Linked DNA regions of Oryctolagus cuniculus. The protein of the gene in region 2 interacts with the protein of the main gene of each other region in a pairwise test. Links are inferred from orthologs where the notes say so. Each region holds a gene or a part of one and is shown on either strand. Other genes may lie near its edges.

Region 1 (5,898 bases), on a different chromosome or scaffold from region 2:
GCCTCTTCCTCATCTCTGAGCAGCTGTCATCCCATGTCACAGCCAGTGGTAAGAGCAAGAAGGGGTAGGGAGTGGCAGGGAAGAGAGCGCCCATTCAGCATCCATTTAACTACTGCTTGAGAAACAAGGATGCGATGCTTCTTCAGCACCTACAATGGGGGAGGCCGTGGGCCAGACTCCAGGGACAGGAAGAACTAACGTCCATCACTCTCCATATACATGCAGGCACCAGGCCAGGACAAGTCACAAAGTCACACCCGTGGTCCCATCTGGCGCTCTCCACGTGGGAGAAGGATTCTGTTCTCGTCTATCAGGTGACACGAAGCCAGCATGCTGGAAATCACAGCCGCTGCTGCTAACTCTGGTTCTTTGTCATCCCCCCAATGACTGGGCCAACACTGAGACCAGAAAAGTAAAGCGGGTAGGGAAGGAACGGAAACCAGGTGACACGGCCCAGTGCAAGTCCTCAGTGCCCCAGGCTCCGCACTCAGGACCACCGCTGCTCCTGACTCAGCTCTGTGCTTGCCCTGTGGGAAGCGACAGGACGCATTTGCTGAGTCCATGCGCTATGCGGACTGACAGAGATGACGCCCGTGCCCCAGCGGGTCAGTGCACAGCTAAGCACTCAGAGGAGCTAACAGTGTCCCTTGCTCACATCTTCCCTGGAGGCCAGGAGTAGAGAAGAGGGGAGAGGAACGATGCTGACTGCATCAGTGTGCCCAGCTGCATCCCTAGTGGATCCCTCTGGGAACAAGCATCCCCACATGCAGCCTCTCCATCTCTGCCCCAGCCACACACTCCTTCCTGGCTCCCGTCCCATGAATTCAGCCACCCCAGGCCTCCGGACGGAATAGTAGCCACAACTGCAGCCGCTGCAGGGAGAAAGGCAAAGCAGAGCTGGCAGCCGGGGGCAGAGGGACTCCCTGGGAGCACCGCTAAGTGCAGACGAAGGAGGAGCCCACAAGTCCTGCACTCCCCCACTGTCCACGCTCTCCAGGGCTCCAGCCCAAGTCCAGCCCTTCTCTGACCCCTCTTCATCTGAGTGGCCCTCTGGGAAAGACTCTTGGCCTGGAAGGCTGGCTCCGGCAACGGGGCCTAGGAGCCCAGTCTTTGGATCTAGGATCATCGGACTACTCTCTACCCCTGTGAATCACAATACAAGAAAACAGCACCGGGGCCGGCGCTGTGGCATAGCAGGTAAAGCTGCCACCTGCGAAATCAGCATCCCATCCACGTCCGAGCCAGCTCCCTGCTAATGGCCTGGGAAAGCAGCAGAGGACGGCCCAAGTGCACCCATGTGGGAAACCCGGATGAAGCTCCTGGCTCCTGGCTTCAGCCTGGCCAAACCCTAGCTGTTGCAGCCATCTGAGCAGTGAACCAGTGGATGGAAGACTCTCTCTCTCTCTCTCTCTCTCTCTCTCTCTCTCTGTGTGTGTGTGTGTGTGTGTGCTGTGTGTGTGTGTGTGTGTATGTAACTCCTTCAAATAAATAAATATTTTAAAAATAACAACACTACTACACTTCCATGGCACTCACTATGAGTGGAGCACTATTCTAAGCATTGCACTTATATTAAACACACCATAGCAACCCCAGTTTACAGCCAAAAGAAATAAATGAGACCAAAACCACAGAACAAGGTAAGAAAGCTTGACTTCAATGTCTCATCTTGGGGCTAGACTGAAAGATATCAAAAGAGCCAGCATTGTGGAGTAGCAGGTTAAGCTGCCACCTGAGACAGCATCATCCAATATGAGTGCCAGGTTCAAGTCCCAGCTGCTCCACTTCCAATCCAGCTCCCTACTATTGAGCCTGGGAAAGCAGTGGAGGATGGCTCAAGAACATAGGCCCTTGCCACCCACATGAGAAACCCAGGCCTCAGCCACCCCACCCCACCCCTTTTTGTTGTAGCCATCCGGGGAGTGTACAGGTGGTTGGAAGATCTCTCTCTCTCTCTCTCCCTCTCTCTCTCTCTCTCTCTCTCTCTGCCTTTCAAATACATTTTAAAAAATAAATCAAGAAAGAAGAAAAGAGGTTTTTTCCATCAGTGAGTGCTAAAGAAGGCAATCCAGCCACCCAAAAGCTAGGGCACCCCCTGTTGGAGTAAAAGCAGGGTTAGTCAGGCCCCTCCGGGAATACCCCCAGCTTGGCTCTGGGAGACAAAATCAGGGGCCACCTTCAGAGAGGAGGGGGAAATGACAAGAGACCAAGCTATTAAAAATAACCTAGAATTTGCCTGGAAATAGCTCAGAGGGTTCAGCATGTCCTAAAAAGGCCTCCAGTCCTGGAATTCTGGCAGAGGGGGGAAAGAGGGAGGGAGGGAAGGAGGAAGGCAGGGAAGGAGACAAAGAGGGAGGAAGCGGATGGCAGGACCAAGAAGAGGTGAAGTCAGTTGTTTTCTATCTCCCCCAAAGTCTTGGGGACCACTGACACCACCCCCAGATGACAACGATAATGGGAAAAAAATCAAAGCCAGCCCCCACCTGAAGGGGGTGGGAGGGGAGGAATGACTCACTTCCCTGCACCCTGCCCCCGGGCCAACGGTAGGAAAAGACAGTCCCAGTGGACAACATTGATCCCAGTAATGGACACTTAGTGTGGCTCAGACACTGGCCAAGGATGGAAGAGCCCCCTCAGGAGGGGGTGGGAAGCTTTCTTCCTTCCCTGCGGCTCTTTGTGCACTCACACCTGCAGCCAGAGTGAAGGGTACAGGATTCACCGCCAGCACCGGCTACACACGCGGGGGGCGGGGGCTGAACTGGTAAGAAAAGAACTAGAATTGGTCTTCCTCCTCCCATCTCTACCTCCCGAGTCGGAAATTTCCTAAGGAGCAAGGGAGGCAGCAGGTCAGCATTCGTTCTGCATCTCCCCGGCTGCTGCTAAGACTACTCTGGGGACTTCTGTTTTCTGGCGCCCTCGACCCCCAAACCCACTCCTGCACTTTGCCAGACCCTGGCAGGTCCCCCCACACACACACAACCTCCTGTGACACTGGTCCATGGAAGTGGCAGCTCTCTCCCGGCCTCCCAGAGCCCTGATGCCCTCCCTACATCCTGTGGCCATGGTCTGGCAGGAGGTTAGGTCCTCGGTTCTCCCTCCATCTCTCTGCCTCTCTCCTCCCCTCCTACCCTGAGCAGAGACAGAAGGGACAGTGTCCCTCCCTGCGGGAAACTTGTCCTCTAAAAAGAAGGGGAGCCAGAGACCCTGGGGCTGGAGTAAGGATGTGCGGGGTGGGGGTGGGGGCATCAGCAGGAGATGGGCCCCTCCAGAGGCGAGAACCTGGCCCTCCAACTCATCCCCAGAGCGAGATCTTGGGTCTCGGGGCCTGGGAGTACCGGACGCTACCCACCCGAGACAGATGATGTGGACTGGGGCGTGGGATATCTATCTGTGGGGCTGGAAAACTGAGAGGAAGAGGCAGAGGGTGGTCTGAGGCTCAGGCGGGCGGGAGCGGCGACTCACTCACCAGCTCTGGGGTCGGGGCTGCAACTGCCGGTGCAGGGCCACAGAGAAGCCGAAGAGGCTGCCAGGCTCGCCCTCCTTGCGCAGGGCGCCCATCACGTCCAGGTTGAAGGCGACAGCCCGTGGCGGGAGCAGGCTAATGAGCAGAGAGCCAAGAAAGCAGCAGATCCCGGGGACCCCCCAAGGATCGCGGCGCCGAGTCCCGGCCATGAGCTGAGCCCCGCGCGCGCTGCCCGCAAGCGCGAGGAAATTCCCGCGCCCGAGCCCCAGCTCTCGGCAGGCGCGGCTTGGGTCTCCGAAGTCTCTCTGCTCTCTGGGGGGGTCTCCAAACTTTCGCCCCGCCACCCCTTCCTATCCTGCCCCTTTGATGTCCCAGCACCCGCTAGGGCAAATGCCGCAGCCGCAGCTCCAGCGTCCGCGCTCTCGCTCCCGCCTCCCCTCCCAGGGTGCCGCCCAGGCCCCGCCCAGGCCCCGCCCCTCGCCCCAGCGGCAGGTGGAGGAGCGGGGGCGTGGCTAAAGGATGCCCAGGCCCGCAGCTTCGGAGAGAGCTGGAGCTGGCCTTCCTGCCCCTGCTGCCCCTGTTCCTCCGGGTCCAGCACCGGCTCCGGCCCAGTCACGCAGTGCCCTCGACCCCTCCCCACATCGACCCCTCGCCCCTACCCTAGCGGTGGGGGCGGTGCCTAGGAACGGGGAGGGAGCGAGAAGTGCCCAGGAAAGAGTAAGGAGGGTAGCAGGAAAGTGGCGGAGACTGAAGAACAACCTGGGAGGAGAGAGGCGGACAGAGAGAAGAACGATGAGCAGTCCTGGGCCCCACACGAGGGAGCCTCCAAAAAGTTAACGGAAAATGGTTATTTTGGTGCAATAGTATTTTCTGAAAGCCATGCCATGATATGCATTTCCCATGAACTTTTGCACCAAAGTGAACTTATCTTTTAATTCTATTTTCCGCCAACTTTTTGAAGCATCCTGGTACAGCACCTCATCCCCGCCCCCGCCCCCGCCCTCGCCCTCGCCCCCAGCCTGGCTATGACCAGGCCTTGCTAGCACTGAGGTCAGCATTCACAGGAGCAGAGGATAGGGTGTAGACGAGGAGAAGACAGGGAGGGGAGCAAGTGGAGAGCTGGAGAAAGAGAAGCATGACAGAGGCAGGAGGAAGGCCAAGAGTCTGACCAACAAGGGGCAGGATGAAGGCAGAAAAGACAGAGGGTGACACAGGAAGAGGAGATCAAGCTGCAGGGGTGAGGGGGTGGGCTCATCCAGGAACCGCAAACACTGGACCCAAGAGGCAGAGGGATGCAAAGGAGCCTGCAGCCACCAGACTGTTCCCGGGACTTTGCGGCTCCCATGGGGCAGAAGGGGCGGGGCAGAGCCCTGGACTGGCTCAGCAGGATGCGGGTGGGGCACAGAAGGGATCTCCACGGGGACCCAATGGCCTGTCCCTCTTCCTCTCCCTTCCCCCAGGCTGGGACAGAGGCAAAGGGAGAGGGGGACATTTTCCAACTTTCTGCTATTTATAACTCTAATCCAGAGGCTGGGCCATGGGGAGAGCCAGGAAACAATTCAGCACAACTGGGACCTCTCTGGCTCCCATGCCCTCATCCTCCTCCTTGTTTTCACTGGCTATTGGTCCTGTGCGGGTCCATCTGTCCATCTTTCCCTTCTCTCTCCCTCTCTCCCCCCCCCCATCCCAAATTCTATTTTTGTCCCTCCCTTGTCTCTGTCACACTTGGAATCTTAGACTATTTCTCAATGTCTCTAATGTCGTTTCTGCCTGTCAAATGCTGGCACATTGTATGACTCTCTTCTTCCTTCTTCTCTGAAATATTCAGGTCTGTGTCCTACCTATCTCCTCTTCCCATGATCCTCTGTCTCTCTTCCTTCTTTGTTCAGGAGTGTCCGTGGGGCCCTCACTCTGCCAGCCCTGGGACAATCCTTGACCTGGGTGTGTTGCCACTTGAAGGTCTGGCCTCCTTTTTTTTTTTTTTTTTTTTTTTTTTTTTTTTTTGTACAACTACACCTGTGGACACCCCATCCAGGGCATCTCTAGACAGGGGCTAAGAAGGAACCCTGCACCAGCATTCTCCTTGCACTCTCTCCCAGAGATGTCCTGTCCATCTCTGCTGTCTCAGAGTCCCAGGCAGTGGAGAAGAGCTGACAGGACAGAACCCAGGCCTCCTGAGTCCCCACCCGGTTCTCCAGCTGCTGCCTCTCTGCACCTGCAGCCTGTCAGCCCCCTATGTGCACTCCACCAGCTTCGGAGAAATCCAAAGCTGAAATCAGATGCCAAGAATCTGTGTCTGACCTCTCTGCCCAAATATTTCAGAAGTCACCTCACCAGCCACAGGAGGAAGGAACAGCAGAAGAGAGAGAGAGGCCACCCAAAATTAGCCTAGCTATAAATAGTGGGGCAAGGGAGGGCAGGGAACACGCAGGAGC
Region 2 (5,267 bases):
GAAGGCTGTTTATTTTAAAGGGGTAATGACTCAGGGGCAGCTGTGGATAGCTGCCAGGAAGAACATCCTGCCTGTGGTCCATTTTAGTACCTGCGGAATCTGTTCATTCCTCAAAGGTGCCATCTGCTTCCCAACACCTGAGTATCCCCTGGCCTGGCCTTAAATCGTGCTTCAGCAGATGAATATTTTGGTCACTTCTGGATCCTTGCTATGAGAAATGAAAAAACCAGGGCCGGCTCTGTGGCTCAGCAGGTTGAAACCACAGCCTACAGTGCCAGCATCCCATATGGGCATCGGTTTGAACTCCAGCTCCTCCACTTGTGATCCAGCTCCCTGTTAAGGTGCCTGGGAAAGCAGTGGAGAATGGCCCAAGTGCTTGGGACCCTGAACCCATGTAGGAGAGCCAGATGAAGCTCCTGGTTCCTGGCTTCAGCCTGACCAAGCCTGGCCCAACCCTGGCCCAACCCTGGCCCTAGCGGCCATTTGGGGAGTGAACCAGCAGATGGAAGATCTCTCTGTAACTCTTTCAAATAAATATATAAATCTTAAAAAAAGAAGAAAAAGCCCAGGCTTGCCCACAGCAAATACATGTCCCAGCCAATAGCCATCTGGCCATGCCAGATGCGTGACCACTAGTCACCTGTCCCCCAGCCTCTCTGCTAGGGAACATCTGTCCAAATTGCCGATTAAGAATTGTGAGTGAATACAGCAGGGGTTGTATTAAGCCGCTGAGTATTGCGGGTAGTTTGCTACGCAACAATAGATAGGTATCAGACAAGGGCCAGTGAGAAAATCCTGAGGCTTAATTTTTTTTTATTTTTAATGTTCATTTTATTTGAAAGAGTTCCCATCCGGTGGTTCACTCTCCAAGTGCCTGCAATAGCAGTGGATGTGCCAGGCTGAAGCCAGGAGCCAGGAACTCACTCCCAGTCTCCCTCACGGGTCGCAGGAACTGCAGTAAGCCATCATCTGCTGCTGTCCTGGGGTGGGCATTCATGGGAAGCTGTATTGGAAGCAGAGCCCGAGCTAGAACCAGGCTATCCAAGATTATTTCAGCCACTGTAAACCTAGGCGCCCAGAGTAGTATTCTGACAGCAATGATTCTATCATTCCCTTTGCAGAAACACTGAAGGCTTCCTACATGCCCTCAGTTGCTAGGATACTGAGTATAAAGATGAACAGGATGTCACTTCTGGCCCTCAAGTTGCTTGTGCCCTTGCCCAGTCCTTCACTTGATGGGGGAGAAAGCAGTTCAGTGTAGGAGATCCATCACAGTGGGACAAAGCCAGCATCTGCCAGGAAAAGTGACACCCAAATGGCCCTGCCTGTCACTGGCTTCAAATGCAGAGCAGTGCGTTCCAGGGAGCACTTGGGAAACGAGAAGAAAGAGAAGAGGCAGGAGAGACATGGATCTGCAGGCTTCCTGGAAGTAGTGACACCACTTCCGGTCCCAGCACATCAGAACTTGCAGGGCACAGAACAATCGCTGGGCCAGGCAAGAAAGTTGTCCTTACATTGAGAATCCCAACGTTTAATCATTAATCCAAAACATTCTGTCTGGAATAACTTTATTGTAAATCACATACTCTTGCTTTCGATTTTACATAACAGGAAGTTTAAAAGCTGTAGGTACCAATGCTTCATTACCTTATACAGTTCTTAAAAGTCAAGTTTGTGACATATGCGAATTGCACTTAAATATGCAGTGAAAAGAAAGATAAGCTTATAAAGACATCATTCGAGAGGAGTTTTGCAATTGGATTGGCCCTAATAACTACAGAAATTCCAAACTATCTTCCCACGTAGGGTTGCATGAGGATTCTCGCTTTTCCCTGGGACTGACTTAGTCCCGAAGATGAAAGGATTTAAACAGACAAGACTAGCACTGAGAAGCACATGAGGCAGGTGGAAGCCAGAGCACAATATTGCTGGTGGAGAAAGAAAATACATAAATGTGTGTGTGTGTGTGTGACTCAAGCAGCGACTGCGCGCTATCCCCGCGGGGCCTTCAGATGTCTTTGCCGCAGTCCGGGCACAGGATGTCGTCCCTCTCTGTGAGGAAGCCCCGCCCCACCAAGGACAGGGAGCACTTCTTGCAGTTGAAGCAGTCGTTGTGCCACTGCCGCTCCTCGAAGGAGATGTATTTTGTGCCACCAATTCCTGTTAACAAAGAACAACACCACCACTGAATGAAGGCAGGAAGGGAGGGTTCGCTGGTTAGACTGGAGCCCCACGGCTGAAGGAGTCCTCGCGGGCTCCTCTTCCAAGTCTGCACTGTGTGCTTTGGACAGAGAGCTGTGTGTAAGGCAGATACTAAGTGCAGCCTGCATGAGCCCACAGACGTTGAACAAAGACATACAGGGCCTGGCCCTGAAGTGATGTGATACTACAAAAAGGGCCTACTGTGTGTATCTGTTCACTAGTTTATTGCAGGTTTTCCCACGTGAAACAGAACAGGGAGCAGGTTCCTCAGGCCCTCCTTGTGCCTGCTGTGTCTGCTGCCCAGAGGTTTTTTTTTTTAAAGCTTTAATAAATGAAGCGCTAAAAGGAGTGTAGAGGGGCCAGCGCTGTGGCGCTGTGGCGCTGTGGTGCAGTGGGTTAATCCTCTGCCTGTGGCACTGGCATTCCATCTAGGCTCTGGTTCGAGACCCAGCTGCTCCACTTCCGATCCAGCTCTCTGTTATGGCCTGGGAAAGCAGTAGAAGATGGCCCAAGTCCTTAGGCCCCTGCACCCATGTGGAGACCGGGAGGAAGCTCCTGGCTCCTGGCTTCAGATCGGCGCAGCTCCAGCCGTTGTGGCCAACTGGAGAGTGACCCAGCAGATGAAGACCTCTCTCTACCTCTCCTCTTTCTGTGTAACTCTGACTTTCAAATAAATAAATCTTTAAAAAAAAAAAAAAAAAAAAAAAAGGGCCGGCGCCGCGGCTCACTAGGCTAATCCTCCGCCTAGTGGCGCCGGCACACCAGGTTCTAGTCCCGGTCGGGGCGCCGGATTCTGTCCCGGTTGCCCCTCTTCCAGGCCAGCTCTCTGCTGTGGCCCGGGAGTGCAGTGGAGGATGGCCCAAGTCCTTGGGCCCTGCACCCCATGGGAGACCAGGAAAAAAGCTCCTGGCTCCTGCCATCGGATCAGTGCGGTGCGCCGGCCGCAGCGCACTGGCCGTGGCGGCCATTGGAGGGTGAACCAACGGCAAAAGGAAGACCTTTCTCTCTGTCTCTCTCACTGTCCACTCTGCCTGTCAAAAAAAAAAAAAAAAAAAAAAAAGGAATGTAGAAGAGGAAAGGGTTCATCTTCTCTGGTGGGGCGGCCAGGGAAGGCCCCAGCAACTAAGTGGTGTGGGGGTGGGGAAGAAGGAGTGGGCCTTCCTCAGAGTAAAGTCCTTGACACAGCTCCAGGAGCGTGAACGCAGGCGGTGCAGTCAGATGGGGCGGGCATAAGATGAGGCTGTTAGCATACATGGAAACAGACCAGGAAAATGTGGAGGCAAGGGACAAGGCCGTCTTGTAATTGTACATAGGAAAAGTAGTATCTCATTACAACTGTTCGCTTTATATTGGATGCCTAACTCCCATCAACTGTTTTAATTACACTGGGTACAGTTGATTTATGCTGCTGTTCATCACCTGGAATAAAACAGAATCAAACGCATATGCTGATGTCAGAATGGAAGTCACTTCTGTTGAAATGGGGGTCATGAATTTCAACTTCAAAGAATTCCTTCCAGAAAGTCTTAATGAACTATACTAAAACAAAGCAAGCAGACCGACCACTCCACTTCTAAAATCTGAGGTCTCAGACTTAGATGAGGAATCTGTAATTCACCAGCTAATTTCCGTTGTAACACTTTTTATTAGAAAAATTTATTTATTTACTTAGAAGGCAGGATGATAGAGAAACAGAGAGAGAGAGAGAGAGAAAGAGGGAGATCTTCCATCCAGGGTTCACTCCCAAAATGGCTGCAATGGCAGAGGCTGGTCCAGGCTGAAGCCAGGAGCCAGGAATGCCATCCAGGCCTTCCACACGGGTGCAGGGGCCCAGGCACTTGGGCCATCTTCAGCTGCTTTCCCAGGCCATTAGCAGGAGCTGCATCAGAAGTGGAGCAGCCAGGACCTGAAATGGCTCTCGCTCTCAGATATGGGATTCTGGCATGGCATTGCCCTTCGCATTATAACTGAATTGTCTAGGCTGGTGCTGGGCATTAAACTCTGTACAGGAGGGAGAGCTTAGAGTTAATCTTCCTCCACCAATCAGTTGCAGGGTTGGGACCTGAACCCAAGACATGCAATGCCAGTTCTAATACCACACTGATGGCTACTGATGGAGCAGATATTTATATTAGTGAAGCTTTGCAGATCTCTTTTCCTAAACGCCTTATGGTTTAAAGAAAGTGACGCCAAAATAAACAGTGTTTCTAGACCACCAATTGCCCTCACGAATCTGACTCCCAAGGGCCATGAAAGACCAAGGGTTCACAGATCCTGTGCCTGGCACTGCACAGGACTCAGCTGGTGGGGTAAGCTAACTTCCCTGCATATCTGGGAAACTGAAACATTCCAACACCCAGCTCATCGCAAATAAATCATGACGCGGGCATCTGTCATGTAGGAAACCGGCTAGGTTCTGCAGCGGAGAGCCAAGCTGGAGAAGCAGAGGTGGAGGCGACACTAACTTGATCTAGGGGCAGGGCTGGTGCAGGGTTGGAAAGTGGTTGTTTCTCTTCTTGGCACATGGACCTCACCCTGAGTCAGCCTGCAGAGCCCAGGAGAAGCTGCTGGGACTCCCTGGAGTTCCTGACACCCCATGCTTCTGTCTCTCTCACCTCTCATGGCTTTGCTGCACCCTAGAGCCGGGGGCAAGGAGGAGACTAGCCGAGGGGATGCAGAGGGTGTTAGTGACAGGCGCCATGCAGGCTGGCCCAGAAGGGAAGTCCCCTGTCTCCATTCTGTGCTCTCAAATGCCAACAAATGGAGTGAGTGACAGAAATGAGAGCCCACGTCAGCCCAAAGGGGAGGAGCCTCCTATAGGAAACATGTACACAGTGGATTCCGGTTATTCGCGGTAGTTATGTTCCAGAACATTCCCACAAACACTGAATTAGCAAAAACTGAGCCATTGCTCCGAAGAGAAATACAGGCTTCAGTTCCTCCAAGCCTCTGGCCACAGTGCTCTCATCAGCCAGTCTATACAAGCTGCTACTTCCCGTGTTTCTGAAGACACCTCGCTCAGTATGCTGATTCATTACCACAGCGCTGATGGCTCACGGCGCCCT
Region 3 (5,957 bases), on a different chromosome or scaffold from region 2:
TTAAAAATGAGAACAAATCAAGGAAATAAAGTGCCAATTTAGGAAGAGCTTGCTGTACAGATATCAAAGTACTTACACTTAAAAGCAGAAAAAGATGAGTGTGCTTAGACAAGATCTCAAAGCTTTACATTAAAATTTAGAAGACTATTTGACAAATTATTTTAAGTTAGTATTGATAGAAAAAGGCAATCCTTAATACAAAAAAAAAAACAAAAACAAAAACAAACAAACAAACAAACACACAAACCCAGATGTCAGTAATGGTCCCCATTGACTGTAAGCTTCAGAGAACAAGGGGAAGCACTGAACCTATGAAATGCATAACATCTGTTCTCTTTATATTAATAAAAATTAAAAAAATAAAAAAGAGGAAAAAAAAGAAAACAAGAGAAGGCAACTACCCATTTCAGAGCAAAACCTCAGGGGGATCCAGGAAAACAAGTTCTCCACTACTTCTACATTCTGTCAGTTGCCTTTAGGCTTCCCAAGCTATAATTCCCAAACCAATCACATTTTAACATAATTATCAGAGATGTTGAAAATTAGAAATGTACAATATGAATAACCTAGGCTTTCTGACGAATTCTCAAAGAAGCTAAAAATACATATGGTTAAAGATGCTATGCATAATCCAGAACTTTTAGAGCGGCTGGAGTGGAAGCAGCCACTACAGAGTGGAGGCCCAGCCTCTCAGTCTCACCTCATTGTTTTACAGACCTAGTCTGTTTTCTCAAACACTCTTTGCTCTTTAATAGCGTCAGGAGGGAGGAATCTGTTTCAGGCTCATTCATTTGTCAAAAATGCTTTCTATTTCGAAAAGGTTTTACCAAACTCTTAAAAAGATTCTACTTCCATTTATCCCAATTCACAGGAAGGCTCACAGAAGGGAAAGAACTTGGTTAGGAACTCAGAGCTAGGGGTGGATGCAACCAAAGGGGAGAAGCAGGAGAGTTCCCCCCAAAACGCACAAAGTGGCACCATCTCATGACAGATCACCATATACTTAAAACATTTATTATAAAAAACGCTTACCTTCGGTATACAAATAAGGTCCCTTCTATATCAGTCTTCTCCTGTAACACAATGAATCAATTAGTATTTTCCCCATAATCCAACTCCAAACACTCCCTAAGGAGAACTACTTCATGTTTATGAGTAACTTGTTTTATTTACTGTAAAATTAACCACCTTTGAACAGGGAAAGTTAAGTCTCCCTCTAATGGCACAAATTTCGGTTACCAATTTCCTATGCATCCTTTCAATGCTGCTGATGCAGACATAGGCACATACAGACTTTAACCCAGCAACCTGTCTTTATCTGTAGCATTTTTCTTTTATAATCAGTGAAAGAGAAAATCACAGAACTAGCTTTCACTTTTTAAAGAAAATGTTTTGGCCAGATTTCTTAATTTTAATGACAAAGTCCTGTGGGCAACAATTTCTTAACTTTTTAAAGTTTATCAAACTTAACATAAAAAAAATGGAAATTTTCTTAGAGGATCCCTTGTTTTATCACTGGAACATTTTGGTATATTTTCATGAGTAGCACACCTTGTGGTTAAGAATTACTATCAACACAATTAGGTAATTATTTTTTAGAACTTTGCTAAAGAATCATGAATACTGAAATTATACTCTGCCTTAAATAATTATTTTATCTTACAAGTAATGCAAAAAATATTTTAAAGTGACCTTGATCAAGAGTACAACTCAGTATTACCTTTCATTTGTTCTGCCAGAGTGTATTTAAATTTCAAACAAAGAAACAATGTTGCAATGTCTGCAGTTCACCACTTGCTGGACCTAACTATTTTAATGCAATGAAGAACATGTTAAAACTTTACATGTTAGACATATCAAACCAAATTATTTGGGATAATTTATACATGTAAAAAATCTCAATATCTTCCAGTATTACCTTAGCTTAAATATAATCATCAATCTTCCTTCCTAAGAATTCAGAAGCTTTTTCTTGCCTTCAAAATGTTATTAGTATTAAATAACTGGTGATCAAATGTCTCAAAGAAAATTTGTCCCCCAAAAAACACAGAACAGAAAAAGATGTGGTTATGCTCTATGAGCCGTGCTTCAATACATAAAAACAGCAGTTTATTTTTCAATTGTACTAGGGTATGGCAAAAAAGCTTGTGGAAAATGAAATTAAAATTATTTCGGCACAAAAAATTCTGAATTCCAAGCATTTTTTTCCAGAATATGTATTTTCCATGAACTTTTTTTGTAAACTGTTTACATCTCATATATAAACAAGAATTTTAGTTTAAAATTCTAAAATATTCAAAATGTATCAACAACTAGAAATAAGAACTTTTTAGGCACAAATTACAGTCCCATTCTTCCCCATTTGTTGGCAATCTATATTTCACAAACCAAGAGAAACGACTGAAAACATTTCAAACTAAGGCAATGTCTAAAATAGCTACACTTAAAAACACTCTATATTTTCATTCTCTGTGACTTCTCATGCTTCCTGTCTTCCAGGTGGTAAGAAAAAGATCATGAAAATTCTCTCCATGTGAATTAACTGTTGGTAAATGCCAGATGATTTTCATATAATTACTGACAAATATAACCTATGCATCTGTATAGTAAGGGACACAGTATGACAATCCTCCACAGTTTTGTTGAAAACTTTCACGCTCACTGAATGTCTGTGCCAGTCACTGACGAATTCAACGCAGCAAGCGTTTACTTAGTAAATTCTAGGTGTACAGCTTATGGCTGAATGAGTGAACCAGGGAGGGTCCGCAACCAGGAAACTGTTATTTTAACAACTAAAAGTACTTCAGGCAGGGACTAGCAAGAGCTGGTGAACAGAGAGAAAGTAACTTTTCAGACTCCCTCTGGTGCCCGAAAGCCAAAGTATTCAGTCCGCTGGGAGTGTTCAGAGGTGACATCACCGGTCTTTTTCCTGGAAAAGGTCTCCAGGGAATCCAATTAACACAGCAGCCCCCCTCCTAAGTGCCTTACGATCTTTTCCAAAACTCCGGAAATACAGGTACGAGTTCGATTAAACCTGGACTCATCCCACGCCCTCCCTCCCAAGAATTCAGACTAATTGGATTTCAAGTTTTAAATCCAAATGACCTCTGCTAAGGGGGCTCTCGTTTCTGTCCGCTGGGTGGCGGGGGTGGGGGGGAGGGGTGCTAATCTTGCAGATCATATATACATATGTAATTTATCCAATAATCCTCTAATCAGGAAACAAGCTTTCAGGGCCCATCTGACCCCACTGGTCTCACATCCTCCAGTGCACAGAAGAAGGAGGCAGGTCGCCCACGTCCTCAGACCCGAGCCCAAGGGACTGATCCTGGTCCAATCGTCCCCTCTGTCAGCTTTTCCCTGGGATGTCTCAGGCCCACTTCTCCTGTTCCTCTGCCCGAATCCCGGACACCCCCGACATCCCTCAGCTTCCCACCCGCCTCTTCGCCACTCCGCGACCTCACCTCCGCCGCCCTGGCCTCCAGCTTCGCCCCCCACACCAGGCAGCCCGCGCGGCCCCTTTAAGAGGTGGCGGCGGCCAGGACGGAGTCCTCAGCGGTCGCGCATCACTCACCCACTGGTTAGCCTTGGGACAGAAGGTGTACAGAGCGACCTGGCCCGTGAGGTCTGCGATGCTGGTGATGTAGGGGTCGTGCTGCTTCAGGGCCGCCAGACTCATCTCCTGCCCAGCTCGACTCAGCGACTCCATCTTGAATCCTGGAGCCGAGCCCCTCCGGTGGGGGCGGAGTCGCGGACAGGAAAGTGCCATCGAGGAAAAGTTCCCCCAGCTGCGTCAGCCCTCTCAACTTCCGCCTCTCTGAGGAGTCTGACAGCGGGGTGGTACAGCAGCCATTTAGCTCCGCCGCGCGCATGCCCCGGACGTCGAGTTCCGGCGTCGGCAGGTCCCATCCGCCCGAGCCGTCGGGGGCGGCGTGCGCGGCTGCGCGATGGGGCTGGCTGGAAGCGTTTCCTGCCCTCAGGCTGCGCTGTCCAGGTGAGGGAGGTGACGGCTGCCAGGAGAGGCTGGCGAGCGACGCTCCCTGGGATTACAGAAAGGAAACCCTGCTGTGGAAAAGGCTCTGCGGGCCGTTTAGAAGGCACGGAGAAGCGTGGGGCAGGGGGGCCTTAAATGACCCTCACTGATGTCGTCACTGATGGTTTCCGAAAGGAGAATTCGAGAACCTTCTTGGAGCTCCACAGGAGTGGCGTTTCCTTCGCCTGGATCCCGCGTGCATATTTTCAGTCAGCCCTGGGAGGAGCCCGTGGGGATTCGAACTCGTTTGGAACCTTATAAAATTTTAAATAGGTCACTCCTTTTGGCGAACATGTACTGAGCGTTTTAAGGAATCAGGTAGTAGCTAAAGAGTAAAACAAGTGAAAACTGTAGGGAGCTTTAGCTCCCCCCACACTTCAAAAAGCAAGTTTTTTTTTTTTTTAATTGATGGGACACCCCAACAGAATTGAAATGTTTTGAAGGGAAAACATGTTCTCCTCATAAAAATAGCACTCATGTCTGCAGCATGTACCAATGCTGGCAAAAACAAAACAAAGCAAAACAAAACAAAACAAAACACCACTCATTTAACTTTTGTTGTACAGGTGTTTATGGAACTCCTAATTGTGAAAAAGGGGCCGTTTGGAGCTTCCAAGTCTTGTTTAAGACATCTCCCTGGCTCCCTGAGAAAGGGAAAGAAGTAGGACAATCTAAGGAAACAGGGATGATGTTAAGAGACGTTGCTCTTTGATACCCAGAGGATGGAGCTACTAACTCTGGCCAGGGAGAATCTAGAAAGGCTTCATGGAGGAGGTGACATTGGGCTCAGTGCTCCAGGGATGAGCAGGAGTTCATCAGGGAAGAAAGGTAAGGGCTTTGGTTCATTTTACAGTGAGGTAGGAAGATGATTTAATTGAAGCCAGGGAGGAGAAGGCACTGGTTCGGAATTCCACACCAGTCAGCGGGGATCTGGTATTAGAACCCAGGGACTCCTGCCCTGTATCTTGAGATTTTTTCCCCCTCCACACCACAATTGCCTTTCTCTTCCCAGTGGCTGGAAGTAGCAGCTTTATTCCCCTCCACCTGCCTTCAATCCATTAACAACAAAAACCTCTGTACTATAGATATGTATTTTAAAATAGGTAATATACTCACTAGGTACAAACTGCAAGAGGCACAACTGAAACTGAATTTAGGTTTTTTTCCCTTGTATAGACTTACATCTCCTTTTAATCTACTATTTTTGGTTGAACCAGTGTAGACTAGTGAGGAGGACTGAGCTATTGAGGGAGTTTTTGTGTTTGGACTAGAAAATCACTTCAAATGTGTGCTTGCATGGGCTCTCAGGCCCTACACCACGCTTGAGAGGTAGTAAAAATAATGTAAATATTCTAGAATTGAAAGCCATCCCATTTATCTTGAGGTCCACTTTTGCTTTGTCAAGGCCTTTTTTGTGTCTTTAGACAGTGTACTCTGGGCAAGGAGAGATGGCCCTGCAGGTCCTTCGAACCCAGCACTGGCCCCGACACCGAGCACCTTTAAATGCTGGGGAACCAATGTGGTCTTGAAGTCCACACAAGAGCCTGGAGAGGGGGAGGAGGAGGGAACTGGGTGACAGCAGAGGTGGCAAGGAGGCCTACTCTTTACCCAAAGACCTTTAGTCGCTTTTGAGTTGTGTTCTCTGTATGCTAATTATTTAAAATAGTGGCAGTGTAATCAATGGGAGCCTGAAAATCTAATCAGTCCACCCCTTCTGCTCCCCCTCTGCGCAGCTTTGGGGTTAACCAAACAGTCTTGCTATTTACCGTCTGGAAGTCTAAAGGGCAAGGAAGACAATGAGGCTGTCAGTGTTTTACTTCCAAATCTACCAGCTGTGGAACTTTCCCAGTTGCCGCAGACATCTGTTCCTCCTGTGCAGAACCAAAGCCCTCGCCGCAGCCTTGCCGCGGTCAGGTGGATCACA

Evidence for each region.
Region 1: the proteins of FHL2 (region 2) and ITGA7 interact in a two-hybrid assay, tested with the Homo sapiens proteins (2 studies listed by BioGRID and IntAct). The link is inferred for Oryctolagus cuniculus from reciprocal best matches to the Homo sapiens genes FHL2 and ITGA7.
Region 3: the proteins of FHL2 (region 2) and DCP1A interact in binary tests that used the Homo sapiens proteins (3 or more experiments, as listed by UniProt). The two-hybrid records come from large-scale screens. The link is inferred for Oryctolagus cuniculus from reciprocal best matches to the Homo sapiens genes FHL2 and DCP1A.

What each region holds. Positions count from the first base shown.
Region 1 is NC_091442.1:58,535,486-58,541,383, forward strand, and holds the start of ITGA7 (integrin alpha-7), read right to left. Parts: upstream 3,908-5,898; 5' UTR 3,673-3,907; coding exon 3,467-3,672; intron 1-3,466. UniProt on the Homo sapiens protein: Integrin alpha-7/beta-1 is the primary laminin receptor on skeletal myoblasts and adult myofibers.
Region 2 is NC_091433.1:103,248,065-103,253,331, reverse strand, and holds the end of FHL2 (four and a half LIM domains protein 2), read right to left. Parts: intron 2,161-5,267; coding exon 2,009-2,160; 3' UTR 1,552-2,008; downstream 1-1,551. UniProt on the Homo sapiens protein: May function as a molecular transmitter linking various signaling pathways to transcriptional regulation. Negatively regulates the transcriptional repressor E4F1 and may function in cell growth.
Region 3 is NC_091441.1:96,493,988-96,499,944, reverse strand, and holds the start of DCP1A (mRNA-decapping enzyme 1A), read right to left. Parts: upstream 3,908-5,957; 5' UTR 3,770-3,907; coding exon 3,575-3,769; intron 1,074-3,574; coding exon 1,033-1,073; intron 1-1,032. UniProt on the Homo sapiens protein: Necessary for the degradation of mRNAs, both in normal mRNA turnover and in nonsense-mediated mRNA decay. Removes the 7-methyl guanine cap structure from mRNA molecules, yielding a 5'-phosphorylated mRNA fragment and 7m-GDP.